3 linked regions of the Xenopus tropicalis genome follow. The protein of the gene in region 3 purifies or fractionates together with the protein of the main gene of each other region. This does not show direct contact. Links are inferred from orthologs where the notes say so. Each region holds a gene or a part of one and is shown on either strand. Other genes may lie near its edges.

Evidence for each region.
Region 1: the proteins of u2surp (region 3) and cherp purify together in Homo sapiens (affinity purification with mass spectrometry; 4 studies listed by BioGRID and IntAct, with this or other methods). This does not show direct contact. The link is inferred for Xenopus tropicalis from reciprocal best matches to the Homo sapiens genes U2SURP and CHERP.
Region 2: the proteins of u2surp (region 3) and sf3a1 purify together in Homo sapiens (affinity purification with mass spectrometry; 4 studies listed by BioGRID and IntAct, with this or other methods). This does not show direct contact. The link is inferred for Xenopus tropicalis from reciprocal best matches to the Homo sapiens genes U2SURP and SF3A1.

The regions. Positions count from the first base shown.
Region 1 is NC_030677.2:112,300,223-112,303,879, forward strand, and holds part of cherp (calcium homeostasis endoplasmic reticulum protein), read left to right. Parts: intron 1-156; coding exon 157-640; intron 641-1,026; coding exon 1,027-1,265; intron 1,266-1,657; coding exon 1,658-1,791; intron 1,792-3,334; coding exon 3,335-3,421; intron 3,422-3,643; coding exon 3,644-3,657. UniProt on the Homo sapiens protein: Involved in calcium homeostasis, growth and proliferation.
Region 2 is NC_030677.2:144,334,838-144,338,594, reverse strand, and holds the start of sf3a1 (splicing factor 3A subunit 1), read right to left. Parts: upstream 2,827-3,757; 5' UTR 2,734-2,826; intron 2,721-2,733; exon of another isoform or gene 2,612-2,720; 5' UTR 2,478-2,611; coding exon 2,388-2,477; intron 1,458-2,387; coding exon 1,342-1,457; intron 1-1,341. UniProt on the Homo sapiens protein: Component of the 17S U2 SnRNP complex of the spliceosome, a large ribonucleoprotein complex that removes introns from transcribed pre-mRNAs.
Region 3 is NC_030681.2:119,895,766-119,899,422, reverse strand, and holds part of u2surp (U2 snRNP-associated SURP motif-containing protein), read right to left. Parts: intron 2,183-3,657; coding exon 2,088-2,182; intron 930-2,087; coding exon 894-929; coding exon of another isoform or gene 891-893; intron 811-890; coding exon 728-810; intron 1-727.

The sequences.
Region 1 (3,657 bases), on a different chromosome or scaffold from region 3:
AACCCTTTTAAGAAATTAGTCATTTCCGTTGATTTTAAAATTGTTTGTAAATGTAATTGCTATATAAAGAGTGTCTGTTTTACAGAATTACAAACGTTCGCAGGGCATTGTGAAGAGATACAAATTTAATATTTAAATAATGTTTTCAATTTTTAGCCTTGTGAACAACCACCATTTCCTCACCACCCAGCACCTCCTCACTGTCCACCATGGAGCAACAGTCACGAAGGCATGTGGAACGAGCAGCGTGACCCCAATTGGAACAACGAGCCTGAGCCAGCTTGGAACAATCAGCGAGAGCCCCCATGGAATAATCAGTTTGATGCTCCTTGGAGCAACCAGCATGAGCAGCCTCCATGGGGGGGGGGTGGTGGTGGTGGTGGTGGTGGTGGTGGCGGCGGCGGCGGTGGTGGTGGTGGGCAGAGGGATCCCCACTTTCGCATGCAGCGTCCACCACACTTCCGAGGCCCCTTTCCACCTCATCAACAGCACCCACCTCAATTCAACCAACCTCCGCATCCCCATAACTTTAATCGGTTCCCCCCACACTTCATGCAGGAAGAATTTCCACCACGGCACCCTTTTGAAAGGCCACCTTTCCCACATCGATTTGATTTTCCCCAGGGGGATTTCCCTGCAGGTAATTTCCAATAGTTAGCATATTATTTATGCAATATCCATATGCACCGTAAAATAGGAATTGGTAAGAAACAGGACCTAGCATTGATTTTAAAGTAGATAAAAGGCCATCTAAAGCCCTTAAACATGATATATTTAGCATGTAGATAGTGTGCAGACGAAAACTTATGAGCTTCTCCACCTCACTGATTTAAGTGTTGGTTCACCTCAGTCAGTATGGTAGTAGCTTCTTCTTGGAGTCTGTTCTAGTCTCAGCTGTAATACAATACCTTGCCAGCTTTATATTTTATTACATCTGCTTCTCTTTTAGGTAGACATTAGATATGAATGTGCAAATGTCTGTTCCTGTTAAAGCGATCTTATCTGTAGTATTATTTTGTCTTCTAGATATGGGCCCACCTCATCATCACCAAGGTCACAGAATGCCACACCCCAACATGAATGAACATCCTCCGTGGGGGGGACCACAACACCCAGACTTTGGCCCTCCACCTCATGGGTTCAATGGACAGCCCCCTCACATGCGCAGACAGGGTCCTCCACACATTAACCATGATGACCCCAGCCTGGTCCCCAATGTACCATACTTTGACTTACCGGCTGGTCTGATGGCCCCTTTAGTTAAAGTGAGTTTTTTTCCTTGGGAAAATCTTTATTAGCTTTGTAGAAGAACTGAAAATTGGCTGGTATTGTATTTGCTAAATCACTAGTCTGTTTATGACTAAGTAGATTTCTTGTGTATGTCGCTTTGCAATGTGCTAAATATTGCAGGGTTGTCCATTATTGAGTAATACGCAGTCATCACCAAGCATGAATTATTGTGATTCCCATTTGCTTTGAAGGGGGGGTGGGATGGAGTTTTGGAGTAACAAAAGGCTAGAAGTCTGTGTGCCATTACAATTGAAGGTTATGCATTGAGTTAATGTCCTGTTACACAGAAAAGAGCGTGGAAGTGGAATGTAAATCCTTTTGCAAAGTATGCATCTTCACCCTGCATCTCTGATGACCTCTTTTGCAGTTGGAAGATCATGAATACAAACCCCTGGACCCTAAGGATATTCGACTTCCTCCTCCAATGCCCCCAAGTGAGAGGCTCTTGGCTGCTGTTGAGGCATTTTACAGTCCTCCTTCACATGACAGACCTCGTAACAGGTGTAGAGTCAGTTCCAGCAATACCTTATGTAGGAAGTGTTAGGCTACTGCTTACAGATTTACCAGTATACAACAACTAATATAAGTGCTGACTCACTTGTGTGTCTAGGGGTATAATAATCTTCAGGCTCGTAATATATTATAAAAAATGTATTCCTTTGTTCAATGAACAGGGTAAAGCATAGATATTTAATACAGGTTCAGTTACATAAATTATTAGCACAGGAATGGAGACAGCACAGCAAGATGTTGAATGCTACTACCCTAAAACCCTACTACTCTAAGTCCAGATATTTAGACTTTTATCCTCAAATCATCTGGGAAAACCATTCCTTCCAGGATAAGAACAGAGGTGTTACTTGCTTTTAGAATGCATAAAGTGTATATCTTTTAAGTAAGAAGTTTTTGGCAGAGAGAAAGCTAATTTAGCAGTGTCTGTATAATACTGGACAAAGCTCAGGCACAAATTCAAATGTTCCACACACTAAGGTTGCACTGGGGTGCCAAAAGTAAAGCGTTCACATCCCCATTTCAAAATACAAGAGTCCCAGACAAATTATGAAAAACATCATGTAATCACTATAATATATATTACTTATTTAGCTGCAATTTTCTTGTTGCAGAGACTTATTAATTAAGTGGAAAACAATGAAAATGTTCATCATTAAAGGGATTCTGTTTTTTTTTTTTTTTTTTAAACATTGAAACATAGTAAGTTTATTTATAAAATATACAGCTTGGATTCTATGCTCTGCTTATGTCTAGTGTGGGTAGAATGACATACCCTATGACACCCTATGTGTTTATGAAGAAAGTAGGAGCGACACGGAGCTTGCTGGCCCATGCATAGTTAAAGGTAATCCCGGAGTATCTTTAACTGCTAGTGCTCCGTGTTGCCGAACTGATCGTAAGAGAACACAAAGATTCAGAAGATGGTGCCTGCTAGTTCTGTTTTTATAAAACACATCAGTTAATAGCTCTCCTCAACAGAGTCCTACATTAAAATCTGTTTTTCAAAAGTATATATATATATTTAATTAATTTTGACATGGGGCTAGATATGTTTTTAGTTTTCTAGGTGCTCTCAGCCACGTGCTCTAATAAACTTTAGTATCTCTTTACTGCTGTACTCTTTGTTGGAGTGATACCCCCCACCTGCCTTCCACCCCCAACAGAACAATGGGCAGGTAACAAGATAGAAGCTTCCTGACACCTGCATTTCTAAAAATGCCCCATGCCTCACCTAGTGTTAGATGTCAGAATGCATTTAGTAGTGAATATCCAAGTCCTGCTCACCTGTTATGACTCCTTCAGTTACATTCAGTTGGAGAAACAATAGCTTATCAGTTCTATTTTGTACTTTTGGCTCTTTCTAAAAGTCCAGAATCAGGCACAGTAACCTAAGATGGCTGCCTACACACCAATATTATATATAAAAAAAATTTGAGAGAATCCCTTTTAAAAATCCTCTGGTTTTTTTTTAAGCATTGTATCTACTTATTCTGAATTTATCAATGATGTGTAATCTGCTTTCCTTGTTTAGTGAGGGTTGGGAACAAAATGGCCTTTATGAATTTTTCCGAGCCAAGATGAGAGCTCGGCGTAGGAAAGGACAAGACAAGCGCAACAGGTAAGTAACATCTAATATATATAGTGCATAACCTTTTTTTTTTTTTTTTTTTAAATAAAAAAATCTATTTTTTTTTTTGTAAAGGTAATACACTGTGGGGTGGACTGGTAATTTAATTAACAAATAACAAAAACCATTTCATAAGGCAAATCAAATTTAATGGAACTAATGCTGAACAAGGAGGTATACTGCAAAGTTTATATTCAGTTTTCTGTTTCTTAGCAGGCCCTCAAGAT
Region 2 (3,757 bases), on a different chromosome or scaffold from region 3:
CAACACCAAGGAAAATTTAGGCGGTTTAACAGGTTATTAAGGTTTTATTATATTTACAATAGTTATTCCATTGATGAGACTTAAGGAAACTTGAATACTTAAAGCAACTCTGCACAAATCTACTTACCCATCCATTATTACCATCGATATTAGAAGACTATCCAAAAGCTTTGTCAACAGGCTTCAAGGCCTACACATATTTCATTATCTGATTAACAGTAGATAAATACTGAACATGATAAATGTCAATAGCACCGTCTCTTAACTGGCTTTAGGCTAATGTCCCAAGAAGAGATTAGCTGCCCACAATAAATCTCTGGTACCACAGGCGACTAATCTCCCCAAAATGCCTGCAGGAGGAAAGTTTGCGCGACTTCGGAAAATGATTGATGAGTGATGCGTATGCCTTTCTCCACGGGTGCAGAGATTTATCGTGGGCAACTAATCTCTATGTAGAGCATTAGCCTTAATGACACTTTCTAAAAAGCCATCATTATTCCATTTCACCATAATATCTTTCAATTCTTGATTCTAAATAGAATACAAGGAACCATGGAGGGGCTCCTCCCTAATGCTGACAATGTGCTACCAATTAGTGCTAAAATAAGTAATGGGCTATCACCCAAGCACAAAAATATACTTGGGTGATACCCATTACTTATTTTATCCCTAATTGGTAGCAAATTGTCAGCATTAGGTAAGGGGCCCCTTCTTGTATCCTTGTATTCCATTTAGAATCAAGAATTGAAAGATATTATGTATCCAATTCGTGTTTTTATGGGAAAGGGAAATACTTTTTTAAAGATATTATATAAAATTTGATGTGTCATCTTATCTATAAGATTTTTTCATGCAATGTCTGATAGTGGCCTTATAACTACCAGGGAAATGGTTTAATTGGTTTCATAAAGGTTATATGATTTGGGATGTACATATTTCAGCTGGAGAATGGACATTAAAATATTAAACTTAACTCCTCCTGCTGCTCAGGGCTTCATCCCCTGCCTACCTACCTCAACACTTCTGTTAAACTGCCAAAATTTTTATGCAGTGTTAAACCCATGTCTTGATTGTGCTAAACACCAGAAAATTTCCACACTATGTTTAGCAATACTATCACCACTTCCATGAAACTGTGAACCAGGCTTGTTTGTTTTTAAGAATAAAAGAGGCACATAGGCCCAAGGTAAAAGAACAGCGATTTCTTTTACTGGAGGATGCCTAACAAACTGATACACTCCTGTGTGCAGTTTTGCTAGTCCTTTAAATTAGTACATAACTGCAAATTTAAAAACATTTATTTGAAAACTATCTACAACAAGAATATATTTTAGGAGGCACCTTGCTACGAAGCTTGCGGTTTTGTCCACTATATTTCGGACTTCTGGAGGAGGGTAAATAATTCCAACAACAGGCTTGGATGGAACTACCTCTTCTTTCTTCTCCTCCTCCATCTGCTGCAAAAAAAAAAAAAACAAACAAAATAATATAAACAAAGTGATAAACATAATGACAAATTAATGTGCAGAAAATATAAATAAAAATGTATCTTGGCCCATCACACATATAATGAAAAATAATTGCCACACTGTCTAAGATTTAACTGCACTGTATTACAAATATATGTTTAAAAAACATAAAATAACAGCAGATGCCTCAGACAAAGACACCTCAGAGACTGGAAAATGTTCAAAGGGGCAGTATAACCTGTCACAGGCTTGAATGTTCATTAGCAGAAAAATACAATATCATCTAAAATTTGTCAGATCTCTGGCTTACATTATAGTTCGGGGTAAGGAATATGCAGTGCAGAAACAGCCCTTACCAACAAGCTGCAGCATCTCACTCCAGGGAAGACTTGAAATTTAAGGCCCATCCAATGCCCTACAGACTTGCTTTATATTGACTATTACTTGTAAACACAAATGTTATTGAAAACTCTACCTGAGTGGCTGCTCGCATTCTCTGCGTTTCTGGTTCTGACTCTTGAAACAATACGACAGAAGTCAGCTAAATTAGAACTTCTGATACAATGTTTAGAGTCAAAACAAATACCACTTGTAGCTGCAATTATATTTACAAATAACGTCTAACATTTCTTTAAATACACTGTACAGTTGCTTCTTTCATTTTCTATCATTATGCAAGTGTTTTTGCTTAAAGATCCCCATAGAGCATAGTTCTGCACGTCTACCCTACACCCCACCCCAGGCAACGCTCTGCGAACCTTAGCTCTATAACTATTTAACTATTTCAGCTTTAGACCCACTGCTTTAACTGCTTACGATGAACCTGTTTTATTTACTCAGAGAAATAGACTAGACAGATCATTACTCCACATGACCAAGGCCTACTCTTTTTCATAAATCCCTGAATAATCGGAGAACCTCTATCTCCCTCTGCCGCGATGCAGAGTCCCGTACCTGGCCTCCGTCCGGTGTCTGCGGCGCCATTATCTGCACTGGTCCGGCCGGCATGGTGCCCACTCCAATCCCACAAACAAGGACAGAAGCGGTAACTTCGGCAGACGAGCAAAATGGCGGCTGCGCAGAATCAAGGTAGGCGTCTCGTGGATAATCCCAGCTGAGTGTTATTATTTACAGCGTTCCGCCTGCAAAAACGTAGCATACATAGTCTTTATCTTAAGTCAATAGAAACAACTACAGAATCTAACTGTACATATTTCCTTTTTTTTAGTCTAATGCCATAGCGTGTAAGCGCGTCACTTCCTACCCCCCTTTTTTGTTGAATGGTATATTCCAGGATGTAACTTGCACACTGCGTTGCGGAACCACGTTGATTTTCCACTCAGACGCTCTGAGTGCGTGGTTGCCATGGAGTTGGCTTCGGCGTCAGATAGTTGAGACGTAGACCTAAATGTATGGCATGGAAGAAACCTGAAAGGACGTTGCCAGCGCATTCGGTTATCCTCATAGCCTCGGTACCGCGAAGTTTATACAGGGGCAAAAGTTTTTTTTTTATGCCACACGGAGGGGGGGGTTTAAGGCATGCGAACGATTGAAAGAGCCGCAGCTAACGTATGCAGTCCCTAAATTAGGTAGGTGTTTTATTAGCAGCAATGCAATGAAATCAACTAGAGAGGTACATTTCCTGAAGAAAATGTGAGTGGTGCTTGCCGTGGCAAAACTCGTGCCCCAATATTACAATGTTTCCTTCAGTTCGGTTAATTGCCCCCTGCTGGGGCAATTTACCGCCCACCCCCTAGAAAAGCCATTGCACCCCATTCCCGAATAAGCCGCATGGTTTGACACCTCATTCATGGGTCTACGACAAACGTGGTTAATTGCCCCCTGCTGGGGCAATTATCCGCCCACCCCTCAGAAAAGTCATTGCACCCCATTCCCGAATAAGCCGCATGGTTTGAAACCTCATTCATGGGTCTACAACAAACGGTGCGGGACTCATTCAAATTTGGTCTCAATGTTAAGTCTATGGGCGGATAATTGCCCCTTGCTGGGGCAATTAACCGCCCACCCCTCAGAAAAGTCATAGCACCCCATTCCTGAATAAGCCGCACGGTTTGACACCTCATTCATGGGTCTACGACAAACTAATTATTTGCCAAAATCCCCATTATAAGTCAATGGGGCAAATTTGAGGACCTCTCTTGCCCCGGGGGTAAAACATATACCCTTGTGCGGGGTATCTTCTGACACAGGTTGCAAACCTCTTCAAATGTGGTAAATTTCATGTTTCTAAAAAATTCCCTCTCTGCGCTACAATCCGTCAAAGTTGG
Region 3 (3,657 bases):
CAATGTTGTTTGCTTTTTCGTGAGTGCCTGTTGCAGCATTGAAGATTTATAGATATATATATATATATCATCACATTGTGTGTAACATCTTGATTAAGTTCCCAGACCAGGACCGAATCGTCAATTTGATGTATTTTTATAATGGACATTAATGGAGTGCGCAGTACTTTCGGTGAGAGATATCTAATACAACTATATGCAGCACCCAACCATGTGAGAGTTTTGATGTTTAAAGAGAGTGCAAACAATTTGAAATAGATATATATATTTGTCCCTGAGGAAGAGCACAGATTGTGCTCGAAACGTTGGAATTTTTTCAATAAAACCACTTTTTCTTTTGTATCAAGTCCCTGTGTGCGGCACTCTTTCTACTATATTTTTGTTTTTTGACCTGCACCAAGGGCATTTGGACTTGTATAGGGTGTGCTCCTCCCTGTATAATTATATATATATATATATATATATATATATATATATATATATATATATATATATATATATATATATATATATATATATATATATATATATTTGCTATTACCCTCAGATTGTAAGCTCTTTTGGGCAGGGCCCTCTTCCCCTCTTGTATCGGTTACTGATTGCTTTATATGTTACTCTGTATGTCCAATGTATGTAACCCACTTATTGTACAGCGCTGCGGAATATGTTGGCGCTTTATAAATAAATGTTAATGTAATGTAACCCTCTCTAACGACACATTTCTCACCTGAGGATTGATATTCCCAAGATATAAATTAGTGGTGCTTGGATCTCCAACATCATGTGACCCAGGTGCATAATCATCAAGGGCTGAAATAAAAAGAAATAAGAATTTGTTACAGGGTTAAAACAAATGATATCATCAATTTAATTTAAAGTAAACATGTTACCACCAGAAGATCTGCTTCTTCGTGAAGATGGTGTGTCCACTGTACAAGAAAAAAAATATAAGTTATTGCAACAGCAAAATCATAATTTTGTAGTAATTAGTTGAACCCAATACATTGTAAAGGTGAGAAGAAAATACATTTCTACTGTATAGAGCTTTTGCTAGTATAGAACATTTGCTAGTACTTATTCTAATAATTAGGGCTTATTCTCATGAGGGGGTCATCATGAATTTTGAAAATTACTCACACAGCAATTCCCACACATTTTCAAGATGAAAGGTGACAATAAATGTGCTTACAATTTAAAAAAAAAGGAGTTTTTCAGCCATTTCTTAAATATTTCAGGGAATAATACCCTGTGCATGCCACAGCTATTAAGCTATTGGCTCACAGTGTATTCTACATTGATATTTATTAGCCAGTGTAAATCATCAACACTGATTTCATGCAAACTGGTCAGTGGTCAGCCACGAATTTGCTGGTGGCAGGCTGTATCCACTGAACTAATGACAGGCTCCTCAGCCAAATGATCTTTACAGGTATGGAGGTGATCATATAAAAGTAATAGTGTATGGTGCACGTGAAGGGAACAGATCTCTCCAAATTATTACTTTATTACCTTTGACTAGAAGCACAATCGAAGTACAAATGGTTATCATTCAGAAACGCACCCGTTGTTCCAGATGACAATAAAAGTCACTTGCTTTTTATTTAAAAACACCATCATTGAGGCAACAATAAATGAGCTTGTGCTAACAGTCCCGCACCAGGAGAAGACTACCAGTCACAGGTCTGCCCTTAAACAAGGTTTAATGAACTGCAGTTCCCCGACAGGTCCATTTAGCTACTAGTTGTCCTTCTACTAGGCAGCAGTGACATATTTCTAAATTTAATGCCAAATATGTATCTTTGTAGAACTGGAACAGAAAAAAAAAACCCTCCAGGCCAGTGGCGTACCTAGATGTTACTGGACCCTATTGCGAATTCAATTTACGGCCCCCATAACGTTAGTAAATTGACCTTTTCTACCAAGATATTTTGAAATTTCTCATTTATTTAGGGCCCTTCTGGCTCCAGGCTTGAAATATTTACACTATAAAACATGAAAGTATATACATAACACATAATATTTGCTTAGGAGCCCCCTGCAGCAAAAGGGGGAAAGTGCAAGTGTACAGTGGAGAAGAATTTACTTACTTAATCTCCGTTGTGTATCTGTGTCAGTTTGAGGGGGTTCAAATCTGCTTGTTCTACCTTTAGTTTTGTGACGTTCATCCCTCTCCTCCTGGATTCTGTCATGAATTAACATTTGGTTACAATAAATGCTTCTACTACAATTAGTATCCCAACTGTAAATATTTTACCAATATTGTGGGTGCATGGCATACAAAATTATTCAAAACCAATATACAAGTTTCAGCTAAATCAAATAAAAATTAAAGAATGAAATTAACACAAACAAGATTCCTTTGGACCTGTAATTAGCACCAAATAAAAGCTGCTGTTCATCAAATGTTAAAACGTTAGGCTGATGCCACACGTGGCGTTTTTACGCTGCGTTTTTTTTTCAGCCGAAAAACGCCGCACAAGCCACACAGCCCCTGACTATGGCGTTTTTCAGCCTAGTACTGGTGACGTAGCAAATCCCTTTCCCATGGTGCTAATAGTGCAAAATAGTAAAAAACGCAGCGTATTTCAGCTAGGTCTGGCAGCTGCTTTTGTGTATACATAGGAATAGCTTGCTGTGCAAATGTACTGGCGTATTTCAGCCAACGCTTAAAAAATCCGTGCTAAGGCGTTTTCTAGCGTATGTACGCATTGTGTGGTTTGCCTCAAGTCTTTTCAAGTTATTTCTATGGATGATGATATCGGGCGTTTTTCAGCCGCTGAGATAATTAGAAAATACGCAGCATAAAAACGCCACGTGTGGCATCAGCCTTAACTAAACAGCAATTGTTTATGTTAGCAGAATATGCCAGTGCAAATATTAAGCTGTGTGATTGTGCATCTGCACATATTCATGATACACTAGTAAAGTAAAAAACACAAGGTTCCTGAAACACAACATTATACAGTTTTCTGCATTCAAGTATTGTTTGTGCCATTTGTCTAACTTTTTTGAAGAAAACTTTGGGGCAATGATTTAGTGTGAGCATGAAAACACAGTGGTATGCTATATTGGCAATGATTTTTCCTTATTGTGTCTATATGTTGGGTTCATAGGTGCTGGTTCATTATACATGCTCATTATATATGTTTTTAGAAATGTTATTTGCCAGTTTTGCTAAATATGTTTAAAGGGGTTGTTCAACTTTGAGTTAACTTTTAGTATGTTGTAGTGAGCTATTCTGAGCCAACTGCAATTGGTCTTCATTTTTTATTATTCGTGGTTTTTTTTTTTTTAATTATTCAGCTTTTTGTTCAACAGCTCTCCAGTTTAGAATGTTAGCAACAATCTAGTTGTTAGGGTCCAAATTAATTTAATTCCATATGAATAGGAGAGGACCAGAATAATAATATAAGTTATATAAAGTAACAACATTAAAACTGTAGCCTCACAGAGCAATATTTTTTGGCTGCTGGGGTCACTGACCCCAATTTGAAAGCTGCAAAGAGGGCAAATAATTAAAAAAAATAGTTAGAACTGACAATTCTATAACATACTAAAAATTAACTTAAGGGTAAGAACCGCTCCAAAGAGGCTTTCCACCAGCAACAATAGGAGTCGCCTGCGGAAAGCCCTTTGCATCGCTTCGGTACTCTGAAG